4 linked regions of the Stegostoma tigrinum genome follow. The protein of the gene in region 1 purifies or fractionates together with the protein of each later gene. This does not show direct contact. Links are inferred from orthologs where the notes say so. Each region holds a gene or a part of one and is shown in the gene's direction. Other genes may lie near its edges.

The links.
Region 2: the proteins of rab GDP dissociation inhibitor alpha (region 1) and rab12 purify together in Homo sapiens (co-immunoprecipitation; 4 studies listed by BioGRID and IntAct, counting the BioPlex papers as one, with this or other methods). This does not show direct contact. The link is inferred for Stegostoma tigrinum from reciprocal best matches to the Homo sapiens genes GDI1 and RAB12.
Region 3: the proteins of rab GDP dissociation inhibitor alpha (region 1) and rab10 purify together in Homo sapiens (co-immunoprecipitation; 4 studies listed by BioGRID and IntAct, counting the BioPlex papers as one, with this or other methods). This does not show direct contact. The link is inferred for Stegostoma tigrinum from reciprocal best matches to the Homo sapiens genes GDI1 and RAB10.
Region 4: the proteins of rab GDP dissociation inhibitor alpha (region 1) and ras-related protein Rab-8B purify together in Homo sapiens (affinity purification with mass spectrometry; 3 studies listed by BioGRID and IntAct, counting the BioPlex papers as one, with this or other methods). This does not show direct contact. The link is inferred for Stegostoma tigrinum from reciprocal best matches to the Homo sapiens genes GDI1 and RAB8B.

Annotation. Positions count from the first base shown.
Region 1 is NC_081364.1:9,593,297-9,601,063, forward strand, and holds the start of rab GDP dissociation inhibitor alpha, read left to right. Parts: upstream 1-4,767; 5' UTR 4,768-4,906; coding exon 4,907-4,951; intron 4,952-7,767. UniProt on the Homo sapiens protein: Regulates the GDP/GTP exchange reaction of most Rab proteins by inhibiting the dissociation of GDP from them, and the subsequent binding of GTP to them. Promotes the dissociation of GDP-bound Rab proteins from the membrane and inhibits their activation.
Region 2 is NC_081358.1:113,911,417-113,918,570, forward strand, and holds the start of rab12 (ras-related protein Rab-12), read left to right. Parts: upstream 1-4,154; 5' UTR 4,155-4,259; coding exon 4,260-4,530; intron 4,531-7,154. UniProt on the Homo sapiens protein: The small GTPases Rab are key regulators of intracellular membrane trafficking, from the formation of transport vesicles to their fusion with membranes.
Region 3 is NC_081357.1:131,664,880-131,672,434, forward strand, and holds the start of rab10 (ras-related protein Rab-10), read left to right. Parts: upstream 1-4,555; 5' UTR 4,556-4,872; coding exon 4,873-4,999; intron 5,000-7,555. UniProt on the Homo sapiens protein: The small GTPases Rab are key regulators of intracellular membrane trafficking, from the formation of transport vesicles to their fusion with membranes.
Region 4 is NC_081389.1:9,829,024-9,835,980, forward strand, and holds the start of ras-related protein Rab-8B, read left to right. Parts: upstream 1-3,957; 5' UTR 3,958-3,993; coding exon 3,994-4,117; intron 4,118-6,957. UniProt on the Homo sapiens protein: The small GTPases Rab are key regulators of intracellular membrane trafficking, from the formation of transport vesicles to their fusion with membranes.

The DNA of each region.
Region 1 (7,767 bases):
GATGAACACAGCAGGCCAAGCAGCATCTCAGGAGCACAAAAACTAACGTTTCAGGCCTAGACCCTTCATTAGAGAGGGGGATGGGGAGAGGGTTCTGAAATAAATAGGGAAAGAGGGGAGGCGGACTGAAGATGGAGAGAAAATATGATAGGTAGAGAGGAGAGTATAGGTGGGGAGGCAGGGAGGGGATGGATCAGTTCAGGGAGGACAGACAAGTCAAGGAGGCGGGATGATGTTAGTAGGCAGGAAATGGAGGTGCGGCTTGGGGTGGGTGGAGTGGATAGGTGAGAGGAAGAACAGGTTAGGGAGGCGGACACAGGCTGGGCTGGTTTTGGGATGCAGTGGGGAAGTGGAGATTGTGAAGTCCACATTGATACCATTGGGCTGCAGGGTTCCCAAGCGGAATATACTGTATCCCAAAACCAGCCCAGCTCGTCCCCTCCCCCACTGCATCCCAAAACCAGCCCAGCCTGTGTCCGCCTCCCCCTCTCTCCCTATTTATTTCAGAACCCTCTCCTCATCCCCCTCTCTGATGAAGGGTCGAGGCCCAAAACGTCAGCCTTTGTGCTCCTGAGATGCTGCTTGGCATGCTGTGTTCATCCAGCTTCACACTTTGTTATTTTAGAGATCTGAAATGTTTTCTATGCCACTGAGCTGCTGACTGTTGAACAGATCCTAGATAATTAAAGATATGATCTTACAGTTCTTGGACATCTCCCAGTAAATATCATTTTGAAGTAGGTGAAAGTGTATGACCAACTCAACATCTTCCAAGGAGAGTTTCAGCTGTCCTCAAAGAAATACAAGACAGATCAACTTGCAGCCCCACTGACTCAGAAGTCCTAAAAGAAAAGGATAGAATGATAAGAAGGCTAAGATATTGTTCTTTGAGGTAATGGCAGTTAATTGTAAGCAAGTCAAAGCAGAAGAGGCAGTAATCACACAACGGAAGAAAATATATGTTAAGAGAATAGAGCAAGAAAACAAAAGAAATTGAAGATGGCTGGATCAAGGGCATATACTGATGGTAAACGACTTTGCTTGGATCTTGGCAAGGTGAAAGTTGTTGCAAAGGTGTAAATACAGTACAATGATTCATCAGATTTTTGATGAACTGTTTAGCAAAATTCTTGCCTGATTTGTCATCAGAGTGCAAACATCTGTGCAAACTCACTGCCCAGGATTTGCATTGGTATTCATTCACAGAAAAGAAGCAGCTTAACTCAAATCAAAAGACTAGTAACAACAGTTCAAAATGCTTTGGAAGTCATAGTTGAAAGAACAATATAGAGGTTTATAAAATAATGAGGGGTAGATAGAGTTAATGCTCATTGTCTTTTCCATAGTGGAGGGTTTTCAAGACTTGGCACCACATTTTTAAGGTGAGAGGCGAGAGATTTAAAAAAAGACGAGGGTTAAGTTTTTTACGCAGAGGGTTGTTTGCATGTGGAATAAATCTCCTGATGAAGTGTAGGTACAATTACAATGTTTAAAAGATATTTGGAAAAATATATGAATAGATATGGGCCAGGAGCAGGCAGGTGAGACGAGTTCAGTTTGGGATTATATTCGGCATGGATTGGTCTGTGACATGTAACTGTTTGAAAAGAACATCACCCTAGGAATGAACAGATACCAGACAAACTGGCAGTTACTCAACTAAATCTTATCAAAAGACCTGAAAACCTCAGAGAAAACAAGTCAATGCATGCACATACAGACTGATGAAAGTGGGATAGACTAGAATTTTCAGTTTTGTTCATGAGTGATCATTTTGGGTGACCCATAGCTGCTGAAAATAGTGCGTACAATTTTCTTTCTCTGTCTAAAAGGGGATGTTTGCATCTGCGCATTGTACCTACTAGCTGATCTTCCTTTGGTCATGTGACCTCAACATCTACTGTAATTTGCTTTCATTCGGGTGTGGCAGCCATTAAACACATAATTTGAAACAAGGGTTATGCAGATCAGGCCAGAGAAGAGGAGTTCCGGCCAGAATCAGATCAGCAATTATCTTATTAAATAGTGGCAGAGCAGGCTTAGGGAGCTGAATGGACTTCCTGCTCTGATTTCCTACAAGCTTGTCTTACTATTGCAGCATGAAGAGAAATGACGTTGGTCCCAGCCATTCCTAAATCTGAGCTTTTTTAAATTTAGCCCATTATGAAACAACTTCGTCATCATTTATTTTTAATTTGGGATAACAGTAAATAGAATCATGGAATGTCATTTTATTGTTTGGATTTTATTGTAGATCAAATACTTAATTCCTGACTTTATCTTAGGGCCTCTGCGTAAATCAAATTCAAGTTTTCATGTTTGACATACTTAAGAATTTTGGCCTGTGAGTTGTAGGTGAATTCAGTGTGTCCAAGATTCAGGTATGAAACATACAAGCTAACCACGTCGAGTTACAATTATGCAATGCCTTAAATGTAATCAAATGTCCCAAGGCAAATCACAGGCAAGTTAAACAACCAAATTTAATGCCAAGCCATGTAAAGCAACATTGTGGCAGAAGGCCAATAATTTCATCGAAGAAGGTTCAAGGAATGTCGCAAAGAAATTTATGAAATTTTTTTTAAAAATTCACAGAAGGTGGCATCTCTGACTAGGTCTGTTTTTATTGCTCTTCCCTCATTATCCAGTGTCAACTCTATTGTTGTGGGTCTGGAATCACATGTAGGCCAAACCGGGAAAGGATAGCAGGTTTTCTTCCCTAAAGGACGTATAGTAATCTTAGTATCAGAGATAATGGGAACTGCAGATGCTGGAGAATTCCAAGATAATAGAATGTGAGGCTGGATGAACACAGCAGGCCAAGCAGCATCTCAGGAGCACAAAAGCTGACGTTTCGGGCCTAGACCGGTCGTGAGACAGGTTAGTTTTACCCTACTGATGATGTGTTGTTGCAATAGTAATCCTGCTCAGTACGAGAGGAACCGCAGGTTCAGACATTTGGTGTATGTGCTTGGCTGAGGAGCCAATGGTGCGAAGCTACCATCTGTGGGATTATGACTGAACGCCTCTAAGTCAGAATCCCGCCTAAACGTAAGGATACCCTAGCGCCGCGGATCTCTGGTTGGCCTGGGATAACCGACTCCGGTCGGTGCGTAGTGCCGTTCGATTCTGGGCAGGAGCGCGGCCGTATGGGCGCCACCTCTCTCCTCTAGACGCACCGCATGTTCGTGGGGAACCTGGTGCTAAATCATTCGCAGACGACCTGATTCTGGCTCAGGGTTTTGTAAGTAGCAGAGCAGCTCCCTCGCTGCGATCTATTGAAAGTCATCCCTCGAGCCAAACTTTTGTCGGTACCGTGCAAACCATCCGTTACGACCACGCGAGGGTCCCCCTACCCGCAACCGTCCGTGACCTCGCTTCGACGTTCCGAACCGCACCTCCAGCCTGACAGCGCTGCGAAGGGTCTAGGCCCGAAACGTCAGCTTTTGTGCTCCTGAGATGCTGCTTGGCCTGCTGTGTTCATCCAGCCTCACATTCTATTATCTTATTATAGTAATCTTGCTGAGTTTTAAGGTAATCGACTGCAGTTAGATTATTTTTTAACTCCACATTTTTTTCTGAATTCAAAGTTTATCATATGTTGTAATGGAATTTGAATCAGATCATTATTGTGCATTCTAAATTATTAGTCCACGGACATTACCACCACTACTATTCCTACTCCTCCTTCCACTATCAAAATTTTAGTGGTTTAGTCAGCTGAAAATATAACCACCAGTGGAGGAAGTGTTAACATCTGGGATGCTCAAGAAGCAATTTCAAAAGATTGTGAAACTGCAGGGAATTACAGTGATATGGAGTGGTCAGGCCATTGAAAATGTGGCTAAGAACAATAATATCTTTGATGAGGGTAATAATTTAAATGGGAGTGAACCCTATTTGCCTGCAAACTGCACTTGTTCCCTTAAATTTCTACCACCTAAACTGAACAGCAATTTACTGAGAAATTCTAGAGTCTCTAGAACTGCAAATAATTGCTCCTGATAAAGAAGGTCCTTTGATGGAGACCTGAAAGATTGTCTCTGTTTCTCTCTCCACACCTGCTGGGATATCCAATTTTTTTTTAAGATCAGTTCCTTGCTTCAATTTAAAGACGATCCTTATAATGTTATTTTCTTCTTTTTTCCTCCTCCTTAATACAGTTGGAATTATCTTTCAATTACCATGTCTCCTGAGCATCCTGGCAGTTGCACTGGGCCTTGTATTACGCTTGCATGCAGACGAATGCTGTCAATGACATTTTGAAATGGAGGACTGTGTTCTGAAGAAGGATCACTGGACGAAACGTTATTCTACTTTCTCTCTCCACAGATGCTGCCGGACTTGCACAGTTTTTTCAGTAATTTCTCAGTAATTTCTGTTTTTGTTTGTAGAGAATAGGGAATTGTGCCCTACTTTGGAACTACGTCTCCCATGCTTCATTGCGGTGCATATTATCCAGCACACAGACTCTGACCCCCCCGCTGTGGACTACAATCCCCAGAAGTCCCACGGGTTGTACGCCTGCGCAGTGCCCCGTTGTATCCTGGCCGTCGACGGTGGCACTACTTTTTCTTCGGACTATGTCGAAAGAGGGGGAAGGGAATTCCAGAATACCTCGATGTTTCGTTGCTTTTCACCCTCGGAGAACTTTGCTTATCCTTCAAATCAATGTCCCGAGGCATTCTTGTCGATCCCGAGACGAAAAGGCGGTGAACTCTTCGGAAAAAAAATAAGGCGCACTATTGGCTGATGGCGGATGGACACCGTCTGAAGTGCGGGTAGTGTCACGGCATATGGTGATCCGCTCCATCCAGTCAGCTTCAGCCCAGCCCAGCCCTTCCACAATAAACCTCAGGTTTTTAACCAAAAATTAACGGTGGTACAGTGAATAACAAGTAAAAAAATGGATGAAGAATATGATGTGATTGTCCTAGGGACTGGATTGAAGGTGAGCCTTTATTCTATTATTTAACTAACAGCCTTTCTCTCCCCACCCCCGACTGTGTGATATTAATATTTGATGAATAGGTGGAGGAAATGGAATTATAGTGGCCTGTTGACTGGATTGCTGCTGTCATGTAGATTGTCCAACTTGGATATTGTAAAGAGAATTATTCACTAATATAACGTTTCTTAAGCCTTTCTCAGATGCAGCATGCACTGTGGGTGTTGGTTTGCTACATAAATCTCAGAATGGTAAAGTTTAAAGTTATTATTGAGGCGGGGAAAACTCGTCTCAAATCTTGCCTAATTTGACGTGTGTTTCGAGCATTCCCTTGATTTTTGAGAATTTTTTTTTTAATTTTTGAAAATTATTTTTTGAAATTTTGAGAGTACCTTTAGAGTAATCCAGAGGCTTAGGGACAGGAGCTGAAGACTACATTGGTGGCTTTTTGAATTTTGATTCGAATTAAAACATATTACTTGTAATGGTGGTTGGAAAACACTGCTTTTTGTTTAAAAAAAATCAAAGCCACGTTATTCATAAATGCCCTGCATGTGATTCCAGAGCCACAAGAATTTGGGATGGGCAGCAAATGCTGGCCTTTTATTACCCACACTTTGTGAAAGAATTACAAGGCTATGAAATGGGGGAAAAAATCAATAGAAATAATACCGAAGTTAACCAAATCTTTGAGAAAAGGAAGCCCCTTGTTTTTCTTCAATCAAAAATTAATGCCTAAATTGTTTACTCTATTCTTCCATTAGTGATGTAGAGAGATTTTTATCCATGTATATATTCCCTACATCAATGTTTTTGTTCATTACAAGTCACAGACTATTACTTTTAAGCTCCTGTTAAAATGTCTCATTGTTATTAACATCGAGTGGCAGGAATCAATCAGAATTGTAGAATGCCTGCAGTGTGGAAACGGGCCATTTGGCCAATCTAGTGCACACTGAACCTTCAAAGAGCATCCTGACCAGATCCAATAACCCCTCCCAATCATCCCTGTATTTCCTATGGCTTGACCATGGAGCCAGCACAATCCTGGACACCATGGGCAATTTAGCATGGCCAATCCTGCCCATCTTTTGGACTGTGGGAGGAAACTGGAGCACCTGGAGGAAACCCGCGCAGGCACGAGAAGAATGTGCAAATTCTACAGACGGTCGCCTGAAGGTGGAATTGAACACTGAGGCAGTATTGTGAACCACTGAGCCACCGTGCTGCCCTGTGCTTTAAGGAACTGGCTTTAAAGTTAAAAAGCAGTCAATAAATGATTGCAGACCAGCCAATGAAATACTGTGAAAAATGTTATTGTTTTCCAGTTAGTAAATCCATTAATTATGTTTCATCTTTTAAGATGATGGCTGGTCTATCCATTACTCTCTACCTTCAATGGTCACTGTTGTCCTGTTTCCCCAGTGGTGTAGTTTCAGTAGTTTATATTTTCCCAAGGCCTGGCTTATCCCTATCTTTTAAAGTAAACTCTGGTGTTGCAAGTCTTCACCTCCTCACTGACCCTGAGGTTTTATTGTATCCCTGACTTTCTTTGAGCCTATCATTGAGAATCTCTCCTTCATATTTCTTGAATTATTTCGTTCTCACCCACACCTCCCTGGTTTCATTTGAACCCCTTAAAACCTATTTCTTTCAAGCAAGCTTTTGATTTTTTTTCCCATTTATTCTTTTGATTTGTCCCTTTTTTCCCCCTCCCTCATCGGTGAAACGCTTACAACACCATTTTGCCAGCCAAGAGCCAAATTCATGGAAATTTCTTCGTTTCCTGTGGCAGAGAGAAAAGTAAAACGAGAACCTGTTTTGTGGGATAACAAGGTGTAGAGCTGGATGAATACAGCAGGCCAAGCAGCATCAGAGGAGCAGGAAAGCTGATGTTTCGGGTCTAGACCCTTCAGAAAATTCTAGGCACGAAACGTCAGCCTTCCTGCTCCTCTGCTGCTTGGCCTGCTGTGTTCATCCAGCTCTACATCGTGTTATCTCAGATTCTCCAGCATCTGCAGTTCCTGCTACCTGTTTTGTGGGTGCTGCCTTGTTTTCCTTGTGTGAGTAGAAATGTATATAAATATCAGTACAAGTGTTTGGTTTATTTATTAATATCTGAACTTGTGCTTTTAAAGGAACCTTTCCTGCAAATTTGTAATACATTTTATGAAAAAAATGCTTTTATGATAAAAAGTTTACTCTTCATCATTCTTGCTTATTGACTGAATTCTTGGTCAAATGCTGCATGAAATCTTAGGCCTGCCATTTAAAATGGAGTCTTTGTTTGTAGAGTCTGTTTGTTTGCCTGCAGGAGGAACATGTGACTGCTTTAAACTGATTCTGTCTCATCTTTTATGTTCAATTCATGATGTATGCATCTATGATTTGGAACATAGATTCTGTAGCTCTGTATTTGTATTTGAGTGGGAAAGAAAGACTGTGTGCCTTTTGACTTGTTAGAGAACTTAGCTGTCTGAATTTTAGGATATTCTGTGATATTGCTGGTCTTTTAAATATTCATGATAGGAGGGCTGTATTTACAGAAGATCTTTGTCTTTCAACACTTCTCCCAGCTGGCCTAACCTACTTTGGAATCATACCTTATGTTTCCCCATCACACCAATTTTCTCTCCCATGGGCAGTGGTTTTAAAATGGAGTGTGGTTCTGTAAGAGTTGAGTGCTGATGACCAAAACGGTCATTTGCGAGCCTTTCATCTGTAGTCGGCCTTAGTCTACAAATAGTAGGAATGCCAGTAACCAGTTCTCCTTCCTAATTACTCCATCTGAGTGGATTTTGTCTACTGCATCATAGGAT
Region 2 (7,154 bases), on another chromosome or scaffold:
AGGATTTCTAAAAACATTCCAATCATAATTGTAAATCAGGAATTGAAAGGAGAGGAATTTAGCAAAATTATAACTATAATTAAAGAACATAATAGCCTTTATTGTCATAGCTGCTCAATGAGTATAGTGAAACATTTACTCGTCACCAATTACAGTGAGAACTTACATACAGAAGTACTTATGCACACCTTCTTTTGTTACAAGATTTTAGACAATAAAGAAATAAAATGTCCAATATTACAGAAAAATGTTCAGTACAGTGGACCACGCTGGCACTTAGCTTCCGGTCTGCACAAGGCCCTGGCTTCATGCTGCGGAGGCAACATGGCACACTGGGAGGCCGCTGTAGGAGGCCAGAAGGTCACCACACTACGCGGGAAACTGCTACAGGAGTTTGCTGCATCGCCAGAGGCTAGGAATCATCGTCGCAGGCCAGGGATCATCGCTCCTCGCCAGAGCTCATCGGAGGTCACCAGACACCAGGAGTCAAAGGGAAAAAGCAGCAGAGAAAACAGTACCAGGAGGAGGAAACAGAGAAGCAAAAGAAGAACAGTCGGTGGTGTGGATGAGCTCTGGTTGGAGTGTCCTGCTCTGCTGCCATCTTAACTGGGAAATACCAAGCAAACTGATGGAGCTGCAGGCTGACTAGTTTCCCAGTCCAGACAGATTTTATCCTGGGATCTTAAAAGAGGTTGTTAATGAAGTAGTGGTTGCTTTGGTGCTTAGTTTTAAAAATTTCCTCAACTTAGAAACATTGCAATCAAACTGGAAGGTCGCAAATATAACTCAAATATATGAAGGTAAGGAGGGAGAAAACAGGAAAATATAACGAATTATCTTGATGGGGAAATCAGAGCAGGATTATGGGAAAGTTGTTGGAATAAAATCATTAAAGAGATTTTAGCTGCACAGTTGGAAAAATTCAAGGTAATCAGCAACAGTCACCATTTGGTCAATGGGAAATCTTACTCAATTTATTGTGGTTTTTTTGAGGTGTACCATTTACTGTAAATAAAAGGGAATCTGTAGGTGCAGTCTACCTGGATTTCCAGAAGTCATTTGATAAGGAACTGCATCAAAGTTTATTGTTGAAACTGCTAGCTCACTGTGTAGAGATAACAATATTAGTATGGATGGAAGATTGGTCCACTGGCGGAAGGGAGAGGGTATCCATAAATGGGTCTTTGTCTGATTGGCAAGATGTTATGAATAGAATTCTACACCGTTCTCTGCTGGCGCCTCAACTTTTTACAATTTATATTCCTGATTTAGAGGGGGGAAAGCAAAGGCATGGAGGCTAAATTCATAGAAGACACTATGATAATTAAGATAGTTTGTTGTGAAGAAAACAAAGAAATTGTACATAGATTTAGATTGTTTAAGTGAATGGGGAAGAATCTGGCTGATAAGGTATGATTCAGAAAAATTTAAATTGGTCACTTTGGTAGAAAGAATAAAAAATACAAGGTATTCCTTAAACATAAAACGATTTCAGAATTCTGTACTGTTGAGGGATTTTAGTTTTCCAGTAAATGTGACACAAAGAGTTTGTCAGTCAGGCAGCATCAGAGGAGGCATCTCCTCACACTTTTCATGCATTGAATCTCATCTTTCACCGATCCACTCACTCCACCAACTTGTCAATGTCCTTTTGGGGTTCCATACTGTCCTCCTCACAGTTTACACTTCCAAGTTTTGTATTTTCTGCTAAATTTGAAATCGTTGTCTTGCATACCAAGATCTAGATCATTAACAAATATCAGGAAAAGTAAGGGTCCCAATACCAAGCCCTGGAGAACATAGAAAAACATCTATTGACCATTGCTTTCTGTTTCACCTCCACCAGTGCCCTCTTTGGTCCTCACCAATGCAAGTAACACCGATGCCGATGGGTAAAACACCAGCCCAAACTCAATTGCACCAACACTTTGAGTCCACTTTAGGCACACTTTGCCAATGCAGCCACTGCTGTTGCCACTGGGTCTCATACTGCACTGAAACCCGTCTCTGCTTCTACCTCCATGAATCTGCGCTGAACACACAGACGCTGCTGGGAACACAAACTGACCTCTGGCATTGCTACCACAAGTCCAAGGTGCAGTGCAAAAGTTTTCCACGTCTCCTAGGACAGTATCTTCCAAACATAAAACCACTTCCATTTAGAAGGACAGCAGACAGATGGGAACACCACCAGGAGTTCTGGGTCAAAATCCTGGAAACGCTCCCTGACGGCAATGTGGGGCAACCCACAGCGCATGGACAGCAGCAGTTGAAGAAGGCTGCTCACCCCAACCCCCTCCAAAAGCAACCAAGGGAGGGGCAATAAAATGCTGGTTCAATCAGTCACACCCCCATGCCCAATGAACGAATAACCATAAAATCGTGCCAGGTGTAAAAGGAGTTCCAATGGGGAAGGGAATTTCTTCCTTCCATTGGGGAATGGAGTGGGAGAAGAGGGGTGGATTCTGGAAGAAATGGAAAGTGGGGATTTGGCCAATGCTCTCCCTTATCTTGCCACCTGGAAGCAACTCTCGCCCACAGACAATGACGGCCACTCTCCTGCGGAAACTTTTAGATCCATCCCGCTTCTCAACCCCTTTCCCTCACCCAACCGCATGCACAACGTCAACTACCACATGCTCGAGAGCGCGGGAGGATTGAGCACGTGCTCTATTGTCAATCACATCCATCTCCCTGCCCCCATGCTCCACTTTCATGTCATTCTGGCCTATCATTGCTGCTCCTTCCCCACTAAGGAACCCGATGTTGGGCGTCTACTACAGTTTATCCAACTGGGGAAGGAGTGGGAACAGCAGCTTCAAATTCTTCCCTTCCACCATCACCATGCCCCCACCACACTCTCCAACAGCCAATTTCCTGCCCACAAAATCCGGCTAAATCATGAAATTTTCAAGCTCATCTGCATCGCATTTAATCGGCCATTGGCAGGAATGAAACAGAAGTGAATAAAATTTCCATTTGATGGCAAGAGAATTGCAGTGTATTTTTACAGGAGTCATCATGATACTAGAGCCCGAAGCAAAACATGAGCCACCTGCCTGGTTTGAGAGAAGTGGCTGTGAATGATTCATTAGATTGCCACCCATAAACCATGTTATTGCTGGCAGAGATAATGGGAACTGCAGATGCTGGAGAATCCAAGATAACAAAGTGTGGGGCTGGATGAACACAGCAGGCCAAGCAGCATCTGAAGAGCACAAAAGCTGACGTTTCGGGCCTAGAGCCGCCTTCAGAGAGGGGGATGGGGAGAGGGTCCTGGAATAAATAGGGAGGGGGGGGGAGGCTGACCGAAGATGGAGAGAAAAGAAGATAGGTGGAGGGGAGGTAGGGAGGGGATAGGGCAATCTGGGGAAGACGGACAGGTCAAGGAGGTGGGATGAGGTTAGTAGGTAGGATATGGAGGTGCGGCTTGACATGGGAGGAAGGGATGGGTAAGAGGCAGAACAGGTTAGGGAGGCGGAGACAGGCTGGGCTGGTTTTGGGATGCAGTGGGGGGAGGGGGAGATTTTGAAGCTTGTGAAGTCCACATTGATACCATTGGGCTGCAGGGTTCCTAAGCGGAATATGAGTTGCTGTTCCTGCAACCTTCGGGTGGCATCATTGTGGCAGTGCAGGAGGCCCGGGATGGACATGTCATCCAAAGAATGGGAGGGGGAGTTAAAATGGTTCGCGGCTGGGAGATGCAGTTGTTTATTGCGAACCGAGCGGAGGTATTCTGCAAAGCGGTCCCCAAGCCTCCGCTTGGTTTCCCCGATGTAGAGGATGCCACAAAAACAGAGAAGAATGGGATGCTAGAGAACTGGTTAAGACATCTACACTATTCAAATTGTCTTCTTTATCATTCCAAATTTTAAGATACTTTGACCTAGCCTTGGGCTGTCAAATTGTACATTTTTAAGTGGCTTGGGGCCTGTTGTGAAGTAGTTTGAGATCTTTAAGTATATTAAAAATACTCCATAAAGACAACCAATGTAAACGCCTATCTAGCATGGGCGAAATCAACTCCTGAAACTCACTGCTGCCTTTCACCCTATCGCAGCGCCGCCCTGGCGGTTTGCCGCGGTGTTGCAGCTCCGGGGCTCCACCTGTGAGAGTGGGACGGGGCGTGACGTCAGGCAGCCCGCGCAGTGCTATGTGGGATACTGGAGGGTTCGGACCTGGCCCTCCGGACGGCGGAGTGTTGTTGGCGGAAGGGAAGAGGCGACAGTAACGGGTAGGAGGAGGGACAGCGGGGGCCGATGGATCGGACAGCCGGAGCCAAGAGGCGAGGGCCCGGCGGGGGAGGCCTGAGCTCCAACTCCCGGTCCCTTTCGTCCAACAGCCTGCCGGTTGCCGGCGGGGCCTCCCCGAAGCCCAGTCCCGCTAGCTCGCGGCGCAGGAGGCAGCCTCCTCGGCCCGCCGACTACAAGCTGCAGGTCATCATCATCGGCAGCCGGGGAGTTGGCAAGACCAGCCTGATGGAACGCTTCACAGACGACACCTTCAGCGAGGCCTGCAAATCCACTGTCGGTAGGTCTGGGGCTGGGTCTGGTGGGGTGGGGGTGGTAGGAACCTCTCCCAATCCCTCCCCCGATCCCAGCCCCACTCCCTCCCCCGATCCCAGCCCCACTCCCTCCCCCGATCCCAGCCCCACTCCCTCCCCCGATCCCAGCCCCACTCCCTCCCCCGATCCCAGCCCCACTCCCTCCCCCGATCCCAGCCCCACTCCCTCCCCCGATCCCAGCCCCACTCCCTCCCCCGATCCCAGCCCCACTCCCTCCCCCGATCCCAGCCCCACTCCCTCCCCCGATCCCAGCCCCACTCCCTCCCCCGATCCCAGCCCCACTCCTTCCCCCGATCCCACTCCCTCCCCAATCCCCCCCCCCCCATCCTGGACCTTGTGCCCCCGGAATTCCCACTTCCGCCTGATTTCCCCCGCGCGCCCCCCCCCCATCATCTTCATCCAGGTACTCCCCTCGACCTACTCTCTTGCCTCTGGAATTCCAACCCCCTCTGTCTTCCCCAGGATCGCACGCCCCCCCCACCTTGTCTACCCCAGGATGAACCACCCCCCCTCCCTTCCCTACTCCAGGTCACCTGTTCCCTTCTCCTAAGACCATACTCTTCCCTGGTCCAACCCAATGTCCATGACCCACATTGTCCAGAGCACACCCTCTCATCTGGACCCTTGTTTTCACAGGATGCATTCTTCTTCAGGACCCTCACTCACCAGGCCTTCCTTCTCTCCCACCTCCTTGAAACCAAATGTCTTGGACCTCTGTCTCCAGATCCTCATGCCTTTGGACCCCCTATCATCTGGGGCCCAGGACCAAGCCACTTTGAGATAACAGGAACTGCAGATGCTGGAGAAGCCAAGATAACAAAGTATAGAGCTGGATGAACACAGCAGGCCAAGCAACATCCCAGGAGCACAAAAGCTGATATTTGACGCCTAGACCTGAAACGTCAACTTTTGTGCTCCTGGGATGCTGCTTTGCCTGCTGTGTTCATCCAGCTCCACACTTTGTTATCTCCCTTCTGTTGAGGACCACCTCCATCCAGTCTTCATGGTACCTGATCTCCAGAAGCACTTGGTTAGCAGGGAGTTGGATGTTTGTTTTAACCACCCTTTTCATATTGAACCTGTACAATAATCTCACATTGCATTGAGTTTGTCTGCAAAGAGCACTTGATGCAGCAGTAACAGGAGAGGATCAACACACTACTTTTATTTGGGATCTGTTTTCTTCCGCTAGTGGTGTCATTAGCGTTGTAGTGTGAGCAGGGAGTAGCAGTTATTGCAGAGTGACATTTTTCCCTTCCTTGTGACACACATCTATGACAACTTGACTTTAATTACATTGTTGACTCCTGCCGATGCTCTAAACTCTGGTATTTCCTTGCTAAACCTCTTTACTTTTCCTGTCTTCAATTGCTCTGTCAATTTCTGTTTTTGCTTCTGAAAATACGTTGACTGAGCATTGACTCTAATATCTCCTGTCGTAGCACAGTGTCCAGTTTGGTATCTTGCTTTGTTTTACTGTGTTAAAGGCACTGCGTGAATGCAACCTGTTGTTGAATCAATTTGTCATCCACATATATTAAGCACCTGTCAATATTCTTGGAAGGTTCTAACATGTTTATATTTGAGTAATTTGACATGGGTATTTTTGACATGATTTTGTTAATTCTTGAATTTACTTTGATAACTATTTTGCATCATAAACACTAATTCTGAGATTTGGAATTTCTCTTGTTTCCCTATTCCCTATATATGAAAAAAAGGGTTGAGTCATGCAGCATGGAAACTAACCCTTCGGTCCAACTCGTCCATACTGACCACGTTTCCCAAACTAAACTAGTCCCATTTACCTGCATTTGGCTCATATCCCTTTAAACCTTTCCTATTCATGTACCTGTATGAATGTCTTTTAAATGTTGTAACTGTACCTGCATCTACCACTTCTGGTAGTTAATTCCATACACGATCTACCCTCTGTGGAAAAATTTGCTCCTCGGGTCCCTTTTAAATCTTCCTCTCACCTTAAAAGTATAACTGCTAGCTTTGAACTTCCCTACCATAGGAAAGAAACCTTTGCTATTCAACTTATCCATGCCCAACAAGATCTTACAATCCCCCAAATCTCCTTTGCTCCCAGCCTATCTAGTCTCTCTATGTAAACTCAAGCCCTCGAGTCCCAGTAACATCCTGTAAATCTTTTCTGCACCCGCTCCAAATTAATAAGGGTAACTAAAGGTAAGGGTTCCTACAGCAGGGTGACCAGAACTGGACACAGTACTCCAAAAGTAACCTCACCAGTGTCCTGTACAACTGCAACATGATGTTCCAACTGCTTCACTCAGAGTCTGAGCAGTGGAGGCAAACATGCCAATTGCCGCCTTTACGATCCTGTCTGCCTATGATGAAACTTTTGAAGAACTGTGTACCTGAACCCATAGGTCTCGCTGTTTAACAACACTCCCCAGGGCCCTACCATGATTGTAAAATTTATTTTCTGACTACTTGGTGAGAAAGTTCAAAAGCAAAATATAAAAGGATGCTTGAAATCGGAAATAAGAACTTGATGCTGTGAATTCTCAAGTGTCCATAGATAGAAATGGTTAATGTAAAGCACCCTTTGACAGAAGCATTC
Region 3 (7,555 bases), on another chromosome or scaffold:
ACCTACGCATTCACACACACACACGCACGTACGCATTCACACACACACGTACGCATTCACACACACACGTACGCATTCACACACACACGTACGCATTCACACACACGCATGTACACATTCACGCACACACGCGCATGTACGCATTCATACACACGCATGTACGCATTCACACACACATACGTACGCATTCACACACACACGCACGTACGCATTCACACACACACGTACGCATTCACACACACACGTACGCATTCACACACACACACGTACGCATTCACACACACGCACGTACGCATTCACACACACGCACGTACGCATTCACACACACGCACGTACGCATTCACACACGTACGCATTCACACACGTACGCATTCACACACACGCACGTACGCATTCACACACACGCATGTACACATTCACATACACACACACACGCATTCACACACACATGTACGCATTCACACACACGTACGCATTCACACACACGCACGCACGCATTCACACACACGCACGTACGCATTCACACACACACGTACGCATTCACACACACACGTACGCATTCACACACACACACGCATGTACGCATACACACACACACGTACACATTCACACACATGCATGTACAAATTTACACACACACACGCATGTACGCATTCACACACACGTACGCATTCACACACACACACGCATATACGCATTCACACACACACGTATGCATTCACACGCACGTACGTATTCACACACACGCACACACGCATGTACGCATTCACACACACGTACGCATTCACACACACATGCACGTACGCATTCACACACACGCACGTATGCATTCACACACACATGCACGTATGCATTCACACACACGTACGCATTCACACACACGCATGTACACATTCACACACACACGTACGCATTCACACACATGCATGTACACATTCACACACACACGCATGTACGCATTCACACAGGCACGTACGCATTCACACACACATGCACGTACGCATTCACACACACGCACGTATGCATTCACACACACATGCACGTATGCATTCACACACACGTACGCATTCACACACACGCATGTACACATTCACACACACACACATGTACGCATTAACACACACACACGCACGTACGCATTCACACACACACACGCACGTACGCATTCACACACACACACGCACGTACGCATTCACACACACACGTACGCATTCACACACACACGTACGCATTCACACACACGCATGTACACATTCACGCACACACGCGCATGTACGCATTCATACACACGCATGTACGCATTCACACACACATACGTACGCATTCACACACACACGCACGTACGCATTCACACACACACGTACGCATTCACACACACACGTACGCATTCACACACACACACGTACGCATTCACACACACGCACGTACGCATTCACACACACGCACGTACGCATTCACACACACGCACGTACGCATTCACACACGTACGCATTCACACACACGCACGTACGCATTCACACACACGCATGTACACATTCACATACACACACACACGCATTCACACACACGTGCACGCATTCACACACACGTACGCATTCACACACACGCACGCACGCATTCACACACACGCACGTACGCATTCACACACACGCACGTACGCATTCACACACACACGTACGCATTCACACACACACACGCATGTACGCATACACACACACACGTACACATTCACACACATGCATGTACAAATTTACACACACACACGCATGTACGCATTCACACACACGTACGCATTCACACACACACACGCATATACGCATTCACACACACACGTATGCATTCACACGCACGTACGCATTCACACACACGCATGTACGCATTCACACACACGTACGCATTCACACACACATGCACGTACGCATTCACACACACGCACGTATGCATTCACACACACATGCACGTATGCATTCACACACACGTACGCATTCACACACACGCATGTACACATTCACACACACACGCATGTACGCATTCACACACACACACGCACGTACGCATTCACACACACACACGCACGTACGCATTCACACACACACACGCACGTACGCATTCACACACACACGTACGCATTCACACACACACGTACGCATTCACACACACGCATGTACACATTCACGCACACACGCGCATGTACGCATTCATACACACGCATGTACGCATTCACACACACATACGTACGCATTCACACACACACGCACGTACGCATTCACACACACACGTACGCATTCACACACACACGTACGCATTCACACACACGCACGTACGCATTCACACACACATACGCATTCACACACACGCACGTACGCATTCACACACACGCATGTACACATTCACACACACACACACGCATTCACACACACGTGTACGCATTCACACACACGTACGCATTCACACACACGCACGCACGCATTCACACACACGCACGTACGCATTCACACACACGCACGTACGCATTCACACACACACACGCATGTACGCATACACACACACACGTACACATTCACACACATGCATGTACAAATTTACACACACACACGCATGTACGCATTCACACACACGTACGCATTCACACACACACACGCATATACGCATTCACACACACACGTATGCATTCAAACGCACGTACGCACTCACACGCACGTACACATTCACACACACGCACACACGCATGTACGCATTCACACACACGTACGCATTCACACACACACGTACGTACGCATTCACACACACACATATGTACACATTCACACACACACATATGTACACATTCACACACACACGTACGTACGCACACACACACACGCACGCACGTACGCATTCACACACACACACGTACGCATTCACACACACACATGCACGTACGCATTCACACACACACGTACGCATTCACACACATGCATGTACACATTCACACACACACGCATGTACGCATTCACACAGGCACGTACGCATTCACACACACATGCACGTACGCATTCACACACACGCACGTATGCATTCACACACACATGCACGTATGCATTCACACACACGTACGCATTCACACACACGCATGTACACATTCACACACACACGCATGTACGCATTCACACACACACACGCACGTACGCATTCACACACACACACGCACGTACGTATTCACACACACACGCACGTACGCATTCACACGCACGTACGCATTCACACACACACGTACGCATTCACACACACACGTACGCATTCACACACACGCATGTACACATTCACGCACACATGCGCATGTACGCATTCATACACACGCATGTACGCATTCACACACACATGCATGTACGCATTCACACACGCATATATGCATTCACAAACACACACGTGTGTTTGCACACACGCATGCACGCATTCACAAACACTCACATGCGTTTGCACAAATGCATGTATGCATTCACAAATACACAAATGCATGTGCACACACGCATGTACGCATTCACAAATACACACACATTTGCACACACGCATGTAAGCATTCCACACTCCTACCACTCTTTGAGTAAAGAGCCTACCTCTGACGTCTCCCCTGTATCTACCTCCACTCACCTTAAAACTGTGTCCCCTTGTAAAAGCTACTTACAACCTAGGAAAACATCTCTGGTTGTCTACTCTATTATACCTCTGATCACTTTGTACACCTCTATCTAGTCACCTCTCGTCCTTTGTCGTTGTAAAGAGAAAAGCCCTATCTCTCTCAACCTTTCCTCGTAAGACCTTCCCTCCATTCCAGGCAACATTCTGGTAAATCTACTCAGCAACATTTTGAATGCATCCACATCTTTCCTGTAATGAGGCGACCAGAACTGGACACAATACTCCAGATGTGGCTGAACCAGGCTTTTGTATAGCTGGAGCAAAACTTCATGGCTCTTGAACTCAATCCCTCTGTTAATGAAAGCTAACACACCATACGCCTTCTTAACAACTCTATCCACCTAGGTGGCATTTATATACATACACACACACACACACACACACACACACACTTGCACACATGCATGCATACATATGCACATACATACACATGTACACAGATGCATGCATGTAGAAATGTATATGTATGTAAACGTTCATGCATATATATCACATATACATGCATACACACATATATACATGCATTCATGCACATTTACACGTACACACACGTGCAGACATGCATTCACACATATACATGCTCACACCTGTACATTGACAAACACACAGACATATACACATACATACATAACGTCAGCTATCTCACCAAAGGAACACACAGTCCTGACGCCGCGCCGGCGATCCTCATCACCCCATGACGTCATCCATTCGGGCGGGCTGTCGATCGATGATTGACATGTGGAGACCCCACCCCTCCGTGGTTTGGAGAATGAACGGGCGCTTCGTTCTGAGTGGGCGGGGCGGACTATTCCACTGATGGAGAGTGGTTTTGAGGGGGGGGGGTGTCAGTGTTTTGGGTGGATGCCCTCCATGTGGTTGCGTTTGGTTTGTCCGAAGACTGACGTCGACGTTGAATGAAATTGGTGGTGCTGCTCCCGAATGTCTTAGCGAAGTGAAAAGAAAGGGAGAAAGAAAAAAGAAAGTTTAACTAAGGGCACGGTTACCGGCCCGTGTGCCAATTTTTATTTTGTTTTGAACAAGGCAGATCAATGGAAATTCATGGCATCTAACTTGTTGCGGCCGGAACGCTGTTAAAGTGAAAGAGCTAGAGAGGCGCCATTTTGTTCCTTTTTTTAATTATAAAAATAAGAACACTCCTCGCCCCAGCTCATCAACCTAAGGAAGGGAGGGATTATGGCGAAAAAAACCTACGATTTACTCTTCAAGTTGCTGCTGATCGGAGACTCCGGAGTGGGGAAAACCTGTGTGCTTTTTAGGTTCTCGGATGACGCCTTTAATACCACTTTTATCTCCACAATAGGTAAGTGAGGGAGAGAGGGCGGTCAGTGCCTCCGGCCCAGGCCCAGGCCTGTTCAGCTGCCGCTGTCTTGGGTGGGGGCTCTGGGCGGATGTCCGAACCACAGTTTGGGCCTTGCGCCTGATCTTACAGTTTTTTTTGTTGTATAAATAACAGGATTGTCCAGTGTAATGTAGTGAAGCCTCGGCCAGGGGGAGTTTTAGGTTTTTTGAAAAAAACTGAAAACGTATGTGTCCCTCAACATTTCTTCTGCTCATGGTGGCAGGATGTGCAGTTAAACCTGCTGAGGTTGATATTTGTCCAGAAACACCATTTGGATCATTTCGTTTGTTTTTTTTAGTGTGTATAAACTGTGTTTTGTGCCAGTATGGTTTGTCATTGCTTTCTGAAGCGCCGATTGCATTTTAAAACCAAGCTGCCGTTTTTATGCTAAACTTGGTTAATGGTATCTTGGCCTTTTGGAAATCGTTTTAAATGGTTTTAGGGCTTCTAATTTGAGCGTTTTTCTACTTTACAACAGCACTATACATAAAGCGTTCTGGTTCGAAAATTGGTTACGGGAAGGAGAAACAGTCAGAAAAATCGCCTGTTCTTAGGTTGGGCGGTTGTCACTGGTGTGCTCTATTGCCAGGTCCTAATTGTTCATCATATGTTTCAAGAATTTGGGTGTGGGGACTATATGTAACATTTCCAAGTTTGCAGATACTACAAAACATGATGGGAATGTGTATTGTGACGAGGATGGAAAGATGCAAAAGGGAGATTCAGGCAGGCTATGTGAATGAATAAAAACGTGGTAAATGGAATATAAAATCTCTTAAAATTATGGGAGACTAGGAAGTGCTGATGTGCAAAAGTCACAGAGCACGTTGTTAGGAAGGCAAGTAGTATATTGACCTTAATGTGAGAGCATTTTAGTTCAGGACCAAAAAGATTTTGCTGCCAGTTTTTGGAATCTTGATGGCAGTGCACCTGGAGTAGCATTGTGTACAGTTCTGGTCTCTTCCAAAGGAAGGATGTACTTGCCAGTGAGAGAGAGAGAGAACAAAACTGATTTGCCAAATTAATTGCTGGGATTTTATGATTGTCTAAGTAATGACGAGGCCTATTATCATTAGGTTTAAAGGAATGAAAAGTGACTTAATTGAAGGTTCTTTAAGAACTTGTCAAGATAAATGTAGGAAGGATGTTTCTTTCAGCTGACGTTGTCTAAAACCAGGTGACACAGTCTCAGAATAAGAGGTAGACCAGATAGGGCTGAGATGAGGTGAGATTTCCTAGCTCTGAGTTGTGAATCTTTGAAATTCTCTAGCCAAGAGGATGTGATGATTTATTTGGAGTGTGTTTGAGACTGAGGTCAGTAGATTTTTAGGTTGTTGAAGACAAAGGGATAAGAAGATTCTGTGGGAAAATTGCATTGCTGGAGATCATTAGTTCAGTGATTAAGCAGACTCGAGAGACTGAGTAGTTTATTGCTGATTCTCTTCCTGTTTTTAAATGTGCTTTCATTTTAAACAAAAGGATTAGTTTATTGACAATTAATTTCTTTTAAACCTGTTTAGGACAGTTGGTTGAGAAAAGGTCAGGTAGCTAAAAAGTCATAGTATGACTGGAGATTTAATCTCTGAATCTGTACATATAAATATGAAGGCTGCTGAAAATTTCCCAAGTTGTTATATTTTTTAATAAATATGTTTCATTTAAATATAGTTTGCATTTTAACTTCTCAGTTAACTAACATGGCCTAATCAGAGGAAGTGATAAATTCTTGTTGGATACAGTCTAGTTACCATAGCTCAGTTGTTAATTTGGTTGTGGGTGTGGTCAGTTGCAAACAAAGTACTATAAATCATTTCCACAGTTTGCTATTTAGCTCCTTGTGCCTCTTCGGACTCTGAATGAAATCATGGTTGATCAGGGATCTGGTGCTATGTCCGTTGCTGGACTTTATTAACCTAAGCTTTCAGTCTTAAATTTAGAATTAACAATTGACCTAGAATGGCAGAAGAGAATTTCAAGCATTTGCAAGCTTTTGTGTGAGAAAATATTTCCTAATTTTATTCCTGAAAGGTCTGGTTCTAGTTTTTGATTCTCCCACCTCTTCCTAGGCTCATCAAACAATAGTTTCTTTTAGCTAGTAAATTTTTTTGGGGGTTTAGTGTCCAGATTGCTTGTTGTGCCTCACATGTGATTTAACTAGGGCTTTGTATAGCTGTAGCATGACTTCTGTTCCTTTGTGTTGAAGTTTGCATTAGATTTGAAGGCCAGCATCCTATTAGCCTTTCTAGTTATTTTCTGGACCTGTCAGTGTCTTTAGATCTGTCATTTCTAGCTTTTAACTATTTTTTAAAAAAATGAAGTATGTTTACAGGTCAAAAGTGAGAGTTCATGTTAGGCTATGTTGAAATTTGTTTGCCAACATGAAGTCCATTTGCCACTGTTTTGCCTATTGAATTAATTGATATCCTTTGTAATTTTTACTTATACCCATCCATTTTCTAGCAAGCTTGGATTTCTTCATGTCATTTAAATTACTATTAAAGATGGTGAGACCTCTGA
Region 4 (6,957 bases), on another chromosome or scaffold:
ATGACTTTCCACATCAAGCAGATGTTCACCTGCACATCTGCCAATGTGGTATACTGCATCTGCTGTACACGGTGTGGCTTCCTCTACATTGGGGAAACCAAGCGGAGGCTTGGGGACCGCTCTGCAGAACGCCTCCGCTCGGTTCGCAATAAACAACTGCACCTCCCACTCCCCCTGCCATTCTTTAGCGACATGTCCGTCCTGGGTCTCCTACAGTGCCATAATGATGCCACCCATAGGTTGCAGGAACAGCAATTCAAATTCCACTTGGGAACCCTGCAGCCCAATGGTATCAATGTGGATTTCACCAGCTTCAAAATCTTCCCTCCCCCCCACTGCATCCCAAAACCAGTCCAGCTTGTCCCCGCCTTCCTAACCGGTTCTTCCTCTCACCTATCCCCTCCGCCCACCTCAAACCGCACCTCCATTTCCTACCTACTAACCTCATCCCATACCCCCCCGACCTATCCCCTCCCTACCTCCCCACCCATACTCTCCTCTGCACCTGTCTTCTCCTCTATCTATCTTCGGTCTGTCTCCCCCGCTCTCCCTATTTATTTCAGAATCCTCTCCCCATTCCCCCCTTTCTGATGAAGGGGCTAGACCCGAAATGTCAGCTTTTGTGCTCCTAAGATGCTGCTTGGCCTGCTGTGTTCATCCTGCTTCACACTTTGTTATATATAATCAATCTTTGATGATTGGTTGGCAGTTAAATCATTATCAATAACATGACATTCATACAGCACTTTAATGTATGTTAGCATTGCATGCTGCTTTATGAGCATGTATTCAGGCTGAAATTAGCCAAAGTGACAAATACCAGGACGGGTGGCAGTGGAGTAGGACTCCTGAGCAGGACCTCATCCACTCTATCTGCTTCTTTTCTGTTTTTCTCACTATTTTTGCATTTCTTTCCATTCTGTTTACACCTTGCATTCTTGGGTGGCATCAAGGACATCCAGGGTAAAAGCCAGTGCAGACTCATGACCTCAGCACGGATCCAGAAGCCCAGCCCCGGCGCGGACCCAGGCTCCTGGCCTCAACGTGGACTCAGTGCGGAATCGATTTCCCAGCCTCAAGGTGAAGCCTGGTGTGGTGTGGGTTGGAAGGACTGTTATTCTGACCTCTTATTCCTCTACTTTTCTTATTTATTGCTGGACATTTTATTTCTTTATTTTTCTAAAATTTTCCTTAAGAATTTGTATTTCATAATCTGTACCTGGGTACTTGGTACTGAAGATGGTGCCATAATTGGTGACTTGTAAACTTTCACTATACTCATGTGAGGACATGTGACAATAAAGTTAATTCTAATTCCATTTCTAATTCTAAGGTGGTCAAAAGCTTTTGATAGCATTTAAAGAGGGTTTTGTCCATTAAAGGAGGAGAAAGAGAGGCAGAGAGGTTTAGGGATGGAATTCCAGAGCTTAAAATGTGCTAAAAACATAATCACAAAAATGGATCAAAGGACGTTGATGCATGAGAAACTAGAGTCGGAGTAATGCAGACATCAAGTTTCTCTTACGCACTCATTCACTCGTGCCTGCATTCTCTCTCTCACTCACTTACATACATCTACTGCCACTCACTCACTTACTCACTCACACATCCACTCTTTCAGCCACACAGTCAGTCAGTCACCCATTCATTCGCAGAAATTGGTAGCAATAAACCAAAGGAGTCCTGGGGAAGCAATGGAATAGAGAAGACTGTGATATTCTGCAATTGTACAGAACAACCTTCACTCTATGTCTACCTAAAACATCAGTGTTTACTAGCCTCAGTTCACTATCTATACTTGCTTTTCCAGTATCCAAAACTTGAGGACAACTTAAAACATTTCGTATCATTTCCTTGACCAGGAGCCAGAAGTACAATTTTAACTCGGTCTTTCCAGAATCTCAAAGGGCACCTCACCTCCCTCTGATTCTATTTTCTCTCATTGACTTTGGTTTAATGTCACCTAAAATTTCAAGTTTGGTCAAACTTGATCTCCTATCCTTCTGGCTATGTTATTTTAGTTTCTCGCAATGACAAACATCTCTTTAGCAGATGTTTTAAAAGTTTATGTTCATTAACTTACGTATATATTTCAGACACAGCATTTCATCCAAAGTATTTTACCTGAACTGAAAGCTGAATATTGGAACTTTCAATGTTAAAATGAGAACACCTCCCATCTTTATGAGCTCTCTGGAATTTAAGCCCGGATACAAAGCATATTAAATATGTGTCTGATGAAGGTCTCTGATGAAGGGTCTAGGCCCGAAACGTCAGCTTTTGTGCTCCTGAGATGCTGCTTGGCCTGCTGTGTTCATCCAGCCTCACATTTGATTATCTTAAATATGTGTAATGGTTTGCTCATGGTGGACCTATACTTGAGTCCACTATAATTGGATGCAGACCAAAAGTGTCACTGTTGGGAAGGGAGGTGTAAACTTGTAATGTGCATTTCTTTACATAAGCAGAAAATTACATCAAGATTTGTTCAGATCTATTCATCCCCATGTGGTTTTCTGGGACAGAACACAAACTGTACAATCGCCCCTGCAGCCCTGATTTCCTGGCTCAGATAGTAGATTTCTGGAAAATGAGCCTGCAAAAAAAAATTGCTTAAGGGAAAACAGATATATGTTGCTCAGTGTTCAGTTCTTGGCAGTACTATAATACAAAGGCCTAGTGGCAAAGAGTTGGGTGGGACCAGCAAAAAATCCAAGCCTGAAAACTGGTGAACTAATCTAAGATGATTCCATGAGAGTGCAATTTATTTTGTTTTAATTCATTCATAGGATGAGGGCATCACTGGGTGGGCCAGCATTTATTTCCCATCCCTAATTGCCCAGGGTGCAGTTAAGAGTCAACTACATTGCTGTGAGTCTGGAGTCACATGTTGGCTAGACCAGGTAAGGATGGCAGGTTTCCTTACTTAAAGGACATTAGAGAATGAGATGGGTTTTCTAGACAATCGGTAATGGGTTCATGGTGATCATTTGACTCCTAATTCCAGATTATTATTGAATTCAAATTCTACCATCTGCTTTGGCCAGATTCAATCCCAGGTCCCCAGACCATTATCCGAATGTCTGGATTAATAGTCTAGCGATAATATCACTGGGCCACCACCTACCCCACATTATCATACCCGGGGAATTCAGATGGAGTAAGGCTGAATTGTTAGGGAGATTACTTGGTGATTAAATCCTACATTTTGGGGAGCTGAACTCTACCTTAGGGGGCCCAGACTTGTGGAGGATTGTTGTAAAGACCTACTTGGTACAGTAATGCCCTACAGGGAAGGAAATCTGCCCTTCTTACCTGGTCTGGCCTACATGTGACTCCAGACACATAGCAATGATGTTGAAAATGACATAGCAGGTCACTAAATTCAAGAGCAAGTACAGATGGGCAACAAATGCTAACCAGTCAATGATGCCCACATCCCATTAAAGAATTATTCTAAAAGTAATAACTGGAAAAATTCAGCAGATCTGGGAGCAAATGTAATGAGAGAAAGCAGAGATCACATTTCAGTCCACTCTGAAGTAGGCTTACTGGACTCAAACTTTAATTCTGTCTCTCTCTACAGATGCTGCTAGACCAGCTGAGTTTTTCCAGCAATTTTCTGTTTTTGTTTCAGATTACCAGCATCTGTAGTTCTTTATTTTAGAGACTGCAGTGGTTTGGGGCATGGAGGAGTAGACAGGAAATCAATGAGATTCACGTCCACATTGCTGACGTTAGTGTAACTGTCCCAATTTAGAACAATCTGTAGTTACAGACCATCGCCTGTTGGGGAACGAGGAGTTGAAGAAAGAAATGACTACAATCCCCAGTTGTCATTGCGGCGTTGACGTTCACGCACGGCGCCCGCGTACGTCGGACGAAAGCCAATCAGCCGTAGAGCATGTGATTGGCGTGAGGCCCCGCCCCCAGCGTCCGCGCACGCGCAGAGTTCTGGGTTTCACCGTCGGCTGCAGTCAGCTCCCGCCCGCCATGGCCAAGACGTACGATTACCTCTTCAAGCTGCTGCTGATCGGCGACAGCGGCGTCGGTAAAACCTGCCTCCTTTTCCGCTTCTCGGAGGACGCCTTTAACACGACCTTCATCTCCACCATAGGTGAGTTCGGCAGTGAGGGAGGGATCGGGGGGGGGGAGAGCGCCAATCTCGGGGCCTGCCGTTTGCTTTAGGGGCGCCCCAACTCATCCCCTCCCACCCCCATCCTACCCCGCCATCACCCCCATCCTACCCCGCCATCATCCCCATCCTACCCCGCCATCACCCCCATCCTACCCCGCCATCACCCCCATCTTATCCCCCCGTCCCCCCATTCCCCCATTTTCCACCCCCACCAGCCCCCCCCATTTTTCACCCCCACCAGCCCCCCCCATTTTTCACCCCCCCGCCCCCCCCATTTTTCACCCCCCCCGCCCCCCCCATTTTTCACCCCCCCGCCCCCCCCATTTTTCACCCCCACCGCCCCCCCCATTTTTCACCCCCACCGCCCCCCCCATTTTTCACCCCCACCGCCCCCCCCATTTTTCACCCCCACCGCCCCCCCCCATTTTTCACCCCCACCGCCCCCCCCCCATTTTTCACCCCCACCGCCCCCCCCATTTTTCACCCCTACCGCCCCCCCCATTTTTCACCCCTACCGCCCCCCCCATTTTTCACCCCTATTCACTCCCCCTCTGACTGTCCACTTCTTCCCTCCCCCCATTTTACCATCTCCTGTATTTCCCCTTACCTGCCTCCACCCCCAGGTCTCCCCCACAGCTGCCCCTGTCCCACTTGATGCCCATGGCCCTCCACCCCCTCTGACCCCTTGCGTGTTCCCTGCTAAACCACCTCAATCTACTCCTTCCTACCACCTTTCCATCTCTTCCCTACAGCTCCCTCAACCTCCGAACCCCTGCTTCTATTACCCCACACTCTCTCCTATCTCTATAAACAAGGCAAGTTCCCAATTAAAAGACTTTTGGTTCAGGCAGTGGGATGCCAGAAATTGGCCTGATGTTGAATAGGGTGAAAGAGTCTTTATGTGATTCTTGGTGGCCTCTGTGGAGCAGAACCTCTTGTGTGGCACAACTCTGTGAATCTGCAGTTTCAAAGTACGAGCAGGAGAGCTACTGCTGAGACACATTTGAAACTTGAATATTAAGTATCAGATATTTGCTGGAATTTTGGAAGTAAAGATCTGAATGAAATTTGTTTTGGAATGTAATTGAGCAAAAATACTAATTTAATTGAGTTAGAAGTTAGAGGTCAGTGTTTCAGGTTATGTTTTTTTTGCCCAAGTTGCAAATGTTTTAAAATATTGTACAGATTTGTGGATACTTTAGTGCTTTGGTCAGTAGTAAACTACTTTCAGAAAAGCATATTATTTTGTAGCATGTTTCAAAAATAAACTTCATACTTAGGATGTTTGAAACCAAATTGAATATTGTTTCGTACACCTGTGGAGATATTACTACTTGTCTCAACTGAGCTTTGAAAATTTATACTAATTCAAAAATACTTCAGTCACCTTTTTTGGGAAAAAATGCCATTTTTCTATTGCATACAAGTCTCAGTTAAATTGTTTGTTTTTTTCAACACAAAAACTGACATTTGCTTCTCGGAAGTGGTCTTTCATTTTTGATTTTCTCAAATGAAATATTTGTGCTTCCTCTTGAGAGATTTGGTGGTTGCTTAGAATCAGAACATGAGTATGTTAGCAGATGATCGCAGTGTAATAGTTACAGAATCTTTTCATATGTTGATTCCTTGGTCAGTGTGGAGGCAATGGCCTACTGGTAATATTGGACTATTAATTCAGAGGCCCAGGTAATGTTCTGGGAGACCCGGGTTCAATTCCTGCCATGGCAGATGGTGGAATTTGAATTCAATAAATATCTGGAATTAAGAGCCTGATGACTGTGAATCTACTGTGGATTGCTGAGAAAACCAACTGGTTCTCTAAGGTCCTTGATAACAAAGTGTGAAGCTGGATGAACACAACAGGCCAAGCAGCATCTCAGGAGCACAAAAGCTGACGTTTTGGGCCTAGACCCTTCGTCAGACTTCATCTGCTGTGTTCATCCAGCTTCGCACTTTGTTACCTTGGATTCTCCAGCATCTGCAGTTCCCATTATCACTAAGGTCCTGAACTGGTCTAGTTTACATGCGACTCCAGACTCTTAACTGCCCTCTGGGCAATTAGGGATGGGCAATGAATGCTAGATAGTGACACCCTCATGGGATGACAGGCATTTTTATATTCGTTCATGGAATGAGGGTGTCGCTGTCTAGCATTTATTGCCCGTCCCATGAATGAATATAAAAATGCCTGTCAGTTTGTCGAGATGGGGCCCCAGTAGTGGTACTGGTGAGTGTTTTATGGTGATGGATTTAAAATTGTAGTACAAAATGAACATATGTTACTGTATTATCTTGCCTACTGTTTCTCCTGCAGTATATTGTTAAGCCTTTTAATATTTACTAGGAGTACTGAATAAACTAACATCAACTGTGAACTTTATAGCTAGGTATGATGTATATTCGCTGCACACTTCAGATCTTTTCCTAAGGTACATTTACATTTAACTCTAGCATGTTCATGCAATGTGGTTGTGGCTTGTACAGATAACTGAAGTTGTGTGTGAATTTGAACTGAAATTTGTCCTGACTTTAGACAGGATGTGAATGTAGTGTAGTTCCAGTGTTGCATCAAGTTGATGCTTTTTAAAAAAAAGCGAAACAAACATTTTCAATGAACTGCAGGTGCATTTTCAAAACAGCGGACATCCCCTCACCACCACCAACCATCTGCATGCAGAGCAGGGCTAAAGGGCAGTCGTTAATATGGCTGAGACACTGATTATAAGTAGTGCCTATGTTAATCTTATATTTTTGCCTTTATTTATACATAATTAACTTTTTTATTTAACAACCCTTAACAAAAATTTGTTGTGAAAACC